2 linked regions of the Caenorhabditis elegans genome follow. The protein of the gene in region 1 purifies or fractionates together with the protein of each later gene. This does not show direct contact. Each region holds a gene or a part of one and is shown on either strand. Other genes may lie near its edges.

Region 1 (3,757 bases):
TGTCTCTGCGTCTTGTTGCAAAATTGGGAATAACAAGAAAACGCATGACTTGTTTGTCTAGAATAGGATTACATGTAATATGCAGCGCGTTTTTAGACCCGTTTTACTCGATTCTTGCTAATTTTTTCCGGGAAAACATAATGAAGATTAACAAATAATTCTTTCAAAACATATAAGATTAGTAAAAAATGAATAAAAGCGAGATATCTAAAGAAAGAAAGAAGCAATTAAAATTGCGACAAGTTTGCCCGAAAATAACTAATTTTCAAGTTCCCTCCGTTGAAAATTTGCGCTAGAGCACACTTGCATTTTTCAATTTTTAACAAATTCTTTGTTGGTTTTTAGCATTTATATATTCGAATATATTCCAGTTTTCTCCACAAATGCAATGTGTCCGGAGTTTTGTGAAGAACGAAACGTTCAATCGAAATAAGGTAATTTGTCTATTTTCAACGAATTCATCGAATTAATGATGTTCTTCCAGATTTTACTAGTGGCATTCGTGGCAAGGATAATTCTCGTTTTCTACGCACACATTCACGATTATCTATTCAAGGTTTGATAATTTTACATCATCAAAATAAGTTTAAACTCAGTGTTTCAGGTGAATTTCACAGACATCGACTATCACGTGTTCTCCGACGCTGCCAAACATGTCTCAAACGGTGGAAGCCCATTCGACAGAGCCACTTACCGATATACGCCTGCGCTAGCATGGATTCTTTTGCCTGTTGTGCATTTCCCGGACTTTGGAAAGATTCTCTTCTGCATTTTCGACATCCTGGTGGCGATTCTGTATTTTAAAATAATGGAGAAAGATTTAAACGAAACAAAAAGCGAAACACGAGAAGAAATGAAAGATGATCAAACAATGAATGTCGTGATTTACTGGCTTGCGAATCCACTGACCGCTATCATCTCAGCCAGAGGAAATGCAGAATCTATTGTTGCTGCAGTCGTGCTTCTGAATATTGTGCTACTTCAAAAAGGATACTGGAAATCTGCAGCTCTAGTTCACGGCGCCCTTGCGATCCAATTGAAGATTTATCCATTGATTTATCTCCCATCAGTTTTTCTGAGTCTTTCAACAATTGGAGAACAAAGTTGTGTTGTGAACAAGTTTAAAAGTTTGGTTTCTAACTGGAAAGGCTTCGCATATATGCTGGTAAGTTATTTTTCTTAAAAACATGGAATTCTCAATGTTAAAAAGATTTAGGTAACTCTCACATCATTCGCAGCGGTGGTACTATTCTTCTTCCAAATCTACGGACAACTATTCCTCGATGAATATCTGATCTACCACGTCAAAAGAAGAGATCTCGCCCATAACTTCTCGCCGTACTTCTACCTATTGTACCTGTATGAAGCGAATCCGACAATGTCACAGATCATCGGCCTCGGAGCATTCATTCCACAAATTGTGCTGATCGTGTTCTTCGCCTTCAAGCATTACGATGATCTTCCCTTCTGCTGGTTTATCACCACCTTCGCATTTGTTACATATAACAAAGTGTGCACAAGTCAGTACTTTGTCTGGTACATTGTTCTTCTACCTTTACTCGCTCATAAAATTATGGTAAATTATTATTTTTAAAACTAGTTTTTTCCTAAATTCCACCTTTTTCCAGATGTCCCGACAACTAGCGTTATCTCTAATGGCCGCGTGGTTCGCAACACAAGGAATCTGGCTTCTCGCTGCGTATTTATTCGAATTCCAAGGATGGAATACATTCTTTTTGATGTTCCTGGCCTCCTGCCTGTTTTTGATTGCAAATTCATTTATTCTCAAACAAATTATCAATCATTATGTACCAATAGTCAAGCCAAAAACCGATTGATCTCATTCTGTAAAATGATATTTATGTTCACTTAAAGCTTTAGTCGCCTTTTTCATATGGGTAATTACTTGTATTTATTTTTAAAATTAATAAATTTTATTGCATTTTTTATTGCTCCATCATTTCTGGAACCTTATATTATCGGTTATTATCTCATCCGATAACTGATTTTCTTTTATTTATTAATTGTATTGATATCAGCTGATAATTAGTTATGAACTGCAATTTAAAAAAAAAAACTTCAGATGGTATTTTATTTGATTGGTTTGGGACTTGGAGACGTTGAAGACATCACTGTCAAAGGATTAAATATTGTCAAGTATTTATAAAATATAATTAATGCAAAATTAAATATTTTTATTCAGAAACTGTGCTCGCGTTCATCTAGAAGCCTACACAAGCATTTTATGCTATGGATTGGACAAAACAAATCTCGAAAAGTTCTACGGAAGAGAGATCATTGAAGCCGATCGGACAGTCGTCGAGCAGGAGTCTGATGCGATTTTAAATGGAGCCGATAAGGAAGACGTAGCTCTACTTGTCGTTGGAGACCCGTTCGGAGCAACTACACATGCGGATCTGGTGTTGCGTGCTAAGCAACAGAATATTCCGGTGATTTGAGGAAGCTAAATTTGATTCCAGTCACGGAACGTGCAAAACATAAACTAAAAAACTAGAAACTTCCTTTAAACTTTCATATAACTTGAATTTTTTGTGTGTTCAAAATATTAAGAGGTTTTTTTTAAAAATAAATTAAAACTTCCTTCGTTTCAGGTCAAAGTGATTCACAATGCTTCCATCATGAATGCAGTTGGCTGTTGTGGACTACAACTCTACAATTTCGGAGAAACAGTTTCAATTGTAATGTGGACTGACGAGTGGCAGCCGGAGAGCTATTACGATAAAATCGCGTTGAATCGTAAACGTGGAATGCACACTTTATGCCTGCTGGATATCAAAACCAAAGAGCAAACTGTCGAAAATATGATGCGTGGGCGGAAGATCTTCGAGCCAGCCAGGTATCAAAAGTGCTCCGAAGCGGCTCGACAACTGCTGACCATTTATGAGAGACGAAAAGCCAAGGGAGAAGAGTGTGCCTATGATGAGAACACGATGGTTGTCGGCTTGGCAAGAGTTGGATGGGACAATCAGAAGATCGTATACGCGAGTATGAAAGATATGAGTGAGATGGAGATGGGCGAACCTCTACATTCACTGATTATTCCTGGTGAAACCCATCCTTTGGAAGTCGACATGTTGGAAACTTTCAGGCCATAATTCCCCAAAATTGTTCCTTTTTTTGTTCTTATTCTTGTTCTGTTGTCTGTTGCTAATTACTTTTTCCACATTTTTTCAAACTTTTTTTGTTTAGTTTTTCGTTTTTTTTTTTTTTCATTTTGTTAGTCTCAAAAAAATTAATCTTCATTTCAAACTTTTTCCCACACACCGCGATTTTTTAATCCTCTTCCAATTTATCCGTATCCAGTTTCGCCTTCAAACTTTTGACCCTGGGAATGGAGGAAGAAAGCAAAAAAAAAAATGGCAGTACAACTAGAGGTCATCCGTCAACTGGGGATTACCGGAAGAAGTCGTTGCACATTTCTCACTTTTTAAATTTTCCTGCTATTAAAATTGCATTCCTATTTAGATAGTATTTTTAATAGGAATTTTCCAGAAGATCGACGACAATATTCTATTGAGTTAGCAAAGCAAAGCGGAAAAAACTAGTGAGCCACGAGAAGGCGGAGCTGTAATTGAGAACACCAAAACCTGACACGACGAAAAAGAGACTAGTAACATAAATAGTCAAAACAAGTTTTTTCTCCCTGTGCTCCGTGAGTACCTCAATCATGATTCGCGCAACGTCCTGCACAGCTCTTTTTTCCGGCCTGGAGAGGGTGGAGTTTCGAAGGTTGCTG
Region 2 (3,757 bases), 7.1 Mb from region 1:
TTCAATTTTGGCTTTTGCGTTTTGCCGGCGTTTTCCAATTTCGGCATATTGCGGATTTGCCGGAAATTTTCAATTTTGACAATTTGCCGTTTTGCCGGAAATGTTCAGTTTTGCCGATTTGCCGGAAATTTTCAATTCAGCAAAACCACATTTTTCCATCCTCTCCTCCTACCTCTTCATCACTATCAAATCCGACTTTTTTCGTTGCCAACACGTATGGAATGTGTCTATCATTGAGCACGTGCTGCAACTCCTGACCAACATATCCCTTTCCTCCATAGATTGCCACGTGCATCTTCACATGTTTATGTTCCTTAAGTGCCGACGCAACAGTGTGACGCATTCCATCATCAAACGAGGTCGTTGGCTCCCAGCCGAGATCATTTTTCGCCTTCTCGATACTTATCAAATAGCGAAGATCATTGTACGGACGATCGGGAATCGATTTGTATTTTGGTGGCTCGTGGGCTCTTCCGAGTTGTAGATCAACTTCTTCTTGAATCGTTTTCGCTAGATCAGCAACATTTTTCTCGTAATAAGTCCCCAAATTGTAAATCTCGTGGAGTTCTCCTTTCTCACAAACTGCCTTCAATCCTGCACTAGCATCGTCCACAAAAAGCCAAGAGCGAAGTTGCTTGCCGCTTCCTTGAATTGTGTATTCCCCACGGACCTTTGCAATCTCAATAAATCTTGGAACCACCTTGACATCCCACTGGTTTGGCCCATAGATATTGTTCATCCGGGCAGTCACAATTGGAAGGTTGTACTGAGTTTGGTAGGCACGGACGTAGGCCTCTCCGGCGATTTTAGTGGCAGCATACGGATTTCCTGGAACAAGTCGAGAGAATTCCACTTTTCCTTGTTCATTCTCCGAGAGATCAGAGTCCCCGTAAACCTCGTCTGTACTGATGTGAACGAATCGTTTGATCTTTCCGTAGGTTCTAACAGTTTCCAAGAATTGGATGAACGATAGAACATTGTTCTGAACGGCTTCAGCGGTCTCATTGTAGCACCGAGTAGAAGTACAGTCAGCGGCGAAATGGATTACGGTATCGATCTGAATTTTAGCATTTAAAGATGGTCATTGTGTCATATGAAATAGGATCGTTTAGATTGGTAACTACAAAAAATTTAGGAGCTGGGGAGCACCTTGAACTAGAAAAAAAATTTCTCCAACTGTGGATTTTTGCCAGCTTTCGATGATTTTTTGGCTGTTTAGAGGTAGGTAAACGTTCTGAATACTTTTTGGAAATTTCTTAAAAATTCCAAAAAGCTTTCAGAATGTTTGTCCACCTCTAAACTCTGAAAATCATCAAAAGCTGGCAAAAATCCACATCTGGAGACATTTTTCTAGTTCAAAGTGCTTGCTAAATTTTTTATAGTGACCTATCCAAAATGTGCTCTTTCAAATGAGCACAGGTCTCATTTAGAAGAAGCTCTCCAATCCATACCTCATTCTGCTCAAAAACGTTGAGAATCGCCGCCTCATTCTTGATATCAGTGAGTACCAACTTGTACCGTGGGGAATTTCTCACCGACTCTGCCACATTCTGAGTGTCACTGTTCAGAATGAGCTTGTCGATGTTCACAAAATTACACGTCGGCCAAGCATCGTGAATGTAGTTGACAAAGTTCGAACCGATGAAGCCACATCCGCCGGTGATAACCACGTTTTTCGGGGTATAGACCATCCTGGAATTCAGTTGAGAATTATCGAGTAATTTCGTCGCGCAAGAAATACGGTACCCGGTCTCGAAACGACAATTTTTTTTGTAAGCTACAGACGAGTGTGCGCCTTTAAAAAGTACTGTATTTTCTAAACTTTCGTTGCTGTGGTATTATTTTTAAATCGATTTTTCATAATTTTTGATATATATTTTCAAAGAAAAAAACAATGAAAAATCGATTTTGAAAAAATCCGCAACAACAAAAGTTGAAAACTACACTACTCTTTAAAGGCGCATATCCGTTTGTATTTAACAATTGTCGTGTCGAAACCAGGTACCGTAGTTTTAGCGCAAAATTTCGCAAATGAGTAATAAAATGCGGGATTTCGACAACAAAAATTGCAAAATTCTCCTTTTTCACTAGTATTAGTTTGAAAAAATTTCGTTTTGAAGGCTAAAATTTTGAAAAATAGCACAATAAAACGTTTGGCAAAGCTTTTGGGTAAAAATTTCGGAAAAAATATTTTTTTTTGACTTATTTCAATTAACTATCAAAAATGGTATTTCAATTTTATAAATTTTCAAGATTTTTTAGCCTACAAGACAAAAAATTCAAAGCAAAAAGCTGTTCAAATCCCAAAAATCCAACAAAAAGTGGAGGACTTGACCATACAGAAACATGTATACATCTAGGAGAAGATAGATAGATAAAGATTTTTCCACGGGAATCAGAGATTTCGAATATTGATATAGAAGAAACGGAGACTAGGTTAAGGTCATTTGAGAGGGCTATGGGAAATCGATTGAACGGCGTATCTGGTGGGGGAGAAACGTGGAAAATTGATGAAATTGGTCGATTGCACCATGTTGTTAGACTAAAAATTAGTGTCAAAATATAGAAAATTACTTGATTTTTCCATATTTTTACACTAATTTTTATTGGAAAACACATGGTGCAATCGAACAAAAAACACAAAAAAAGTGAACATTTCGGTCTCTCCAAGTGATGATCAGATGTACAGTCCATCAGTAAAGTGTGAATCATTCTCCTTCCGGTGCATCAACAAAAAATTGTGAAATTCTCACCCAAATTACAGGCCAATTACAGTGTGCCCAACCCATAAAACTCGGTTTTTGGCAATTGCCGGCCAGAAATTCTACAATATTTTTCATTAGAATTCAGTGATAGATTATAGAAAAAACATAGGATTCATTTGAAAATTGCCGTTTCTTCTAGTTAAAACAATAGGGAGAACGCTCAAAAATTGTCTGAAAGTTGAATTTGGAGCGTTCTCCCAATTTTTTTAAACTAGAAAATAACTCGATTTTCATATAAATCAAATGTCACTGAATTTTGATAGAAGTTTGTCCTTTCCCTTGTCAGTTTTTTTGTTGGAAATTTCCAACTAAAAGTGACACCTCACAGAGAGAGAGTACCCCGTCCTTCTAATTAGCACCACCAGCTGATCATGTATTTCTTCTGCTGAACTCTTCTCACAAAATGAAATTGGGAACCTAGAGACTCTTGAATTCTCGGGTTTCTGTTTGCTGCTGCTCTCTTTTCTCCCCCTGCTCTCTCTCCTGCCATTTAATGGTTCAGCAAAGCCATTTTTTGATGGAAAATGGCGCAGAGGCGAAAAGTAAACATATTATTTTTCCATCATTTTCCCCTACTTTTCGTTCGAATATTTTCCCACCGACTTCTTCTATCAACTCGTTTGATATGGAGTCTTGGAATTTTTCGAATTTTCGGTTTTTCCCTCTGATTTGTGCTCTCCGCACAGCTGTTGCTCATTATTATGACGAACATCAAGCTTTAAACTTTCCGTTGAGCAGCTGTTGAGGTGGTTAATTCGCATTCGCGGAAGCTCTCTCAAAAAAATAAAGTGAACTTGAGAGTTTAAGTCGAAAAGCTTCACTTTTTGAGTTTTCTTTCTCCGGGTTACTGTAGCTGTGGAAATCTGCAAATACAGAATCTTGTGGTTTTTTTTTTAATGATATTTTTATATGAAGACAATGTAGAAGACAATGAGCTTTAGCTCAAAATTGCGTGAAATTCGGTGTGACAGGTTACGGTATTCGCATTTTGC

What was found.
Region 2: the proteins of dph-5 (region 1) and rml-4 fractionate together in Caenorhabditis elegans (co-fractionation; one large-scale study listed by BioGRID). This does not show direct contact.

Annotation. Positions count from the first base shown.
Region 1 is NC_003280.10:11,348,109-11,351,865, forward strand, and holds dph-5 (diphthine methyl ester synthase), read left to right. Parts: upstream 1-2,083; coding exon 2,084-2,157; intron 2,158-2,203; coding exon 2,204-2,450; intron 2,451-2,612; coding exon 2,613-3,116; 3' UTR 3,117-3,265; downstream 3,266-3,757. Other genes in the region: pigm-1 (GPI alpha-1,4-mannosyltransferase I, catalytic subunit), read left to right, coding at 384-434, 485-556, 605-1,165, 1,217-1,576, 1,629-1,838.
Region 2 is NC_003280.10:4,293,036-4,296,792, reverse strand, and holds the start of rml-4 (dTDP-D-glucose 4,6-dehydratase), read right to left. Parts: upstream 1,693-3,757; 5' UTR 1,692-1,692; coding exon 1,452-1,691; exon of another isoform or gene 1,197-1,451; intron 1,058-1,196; coding exon 173-1,057; intron 1-172.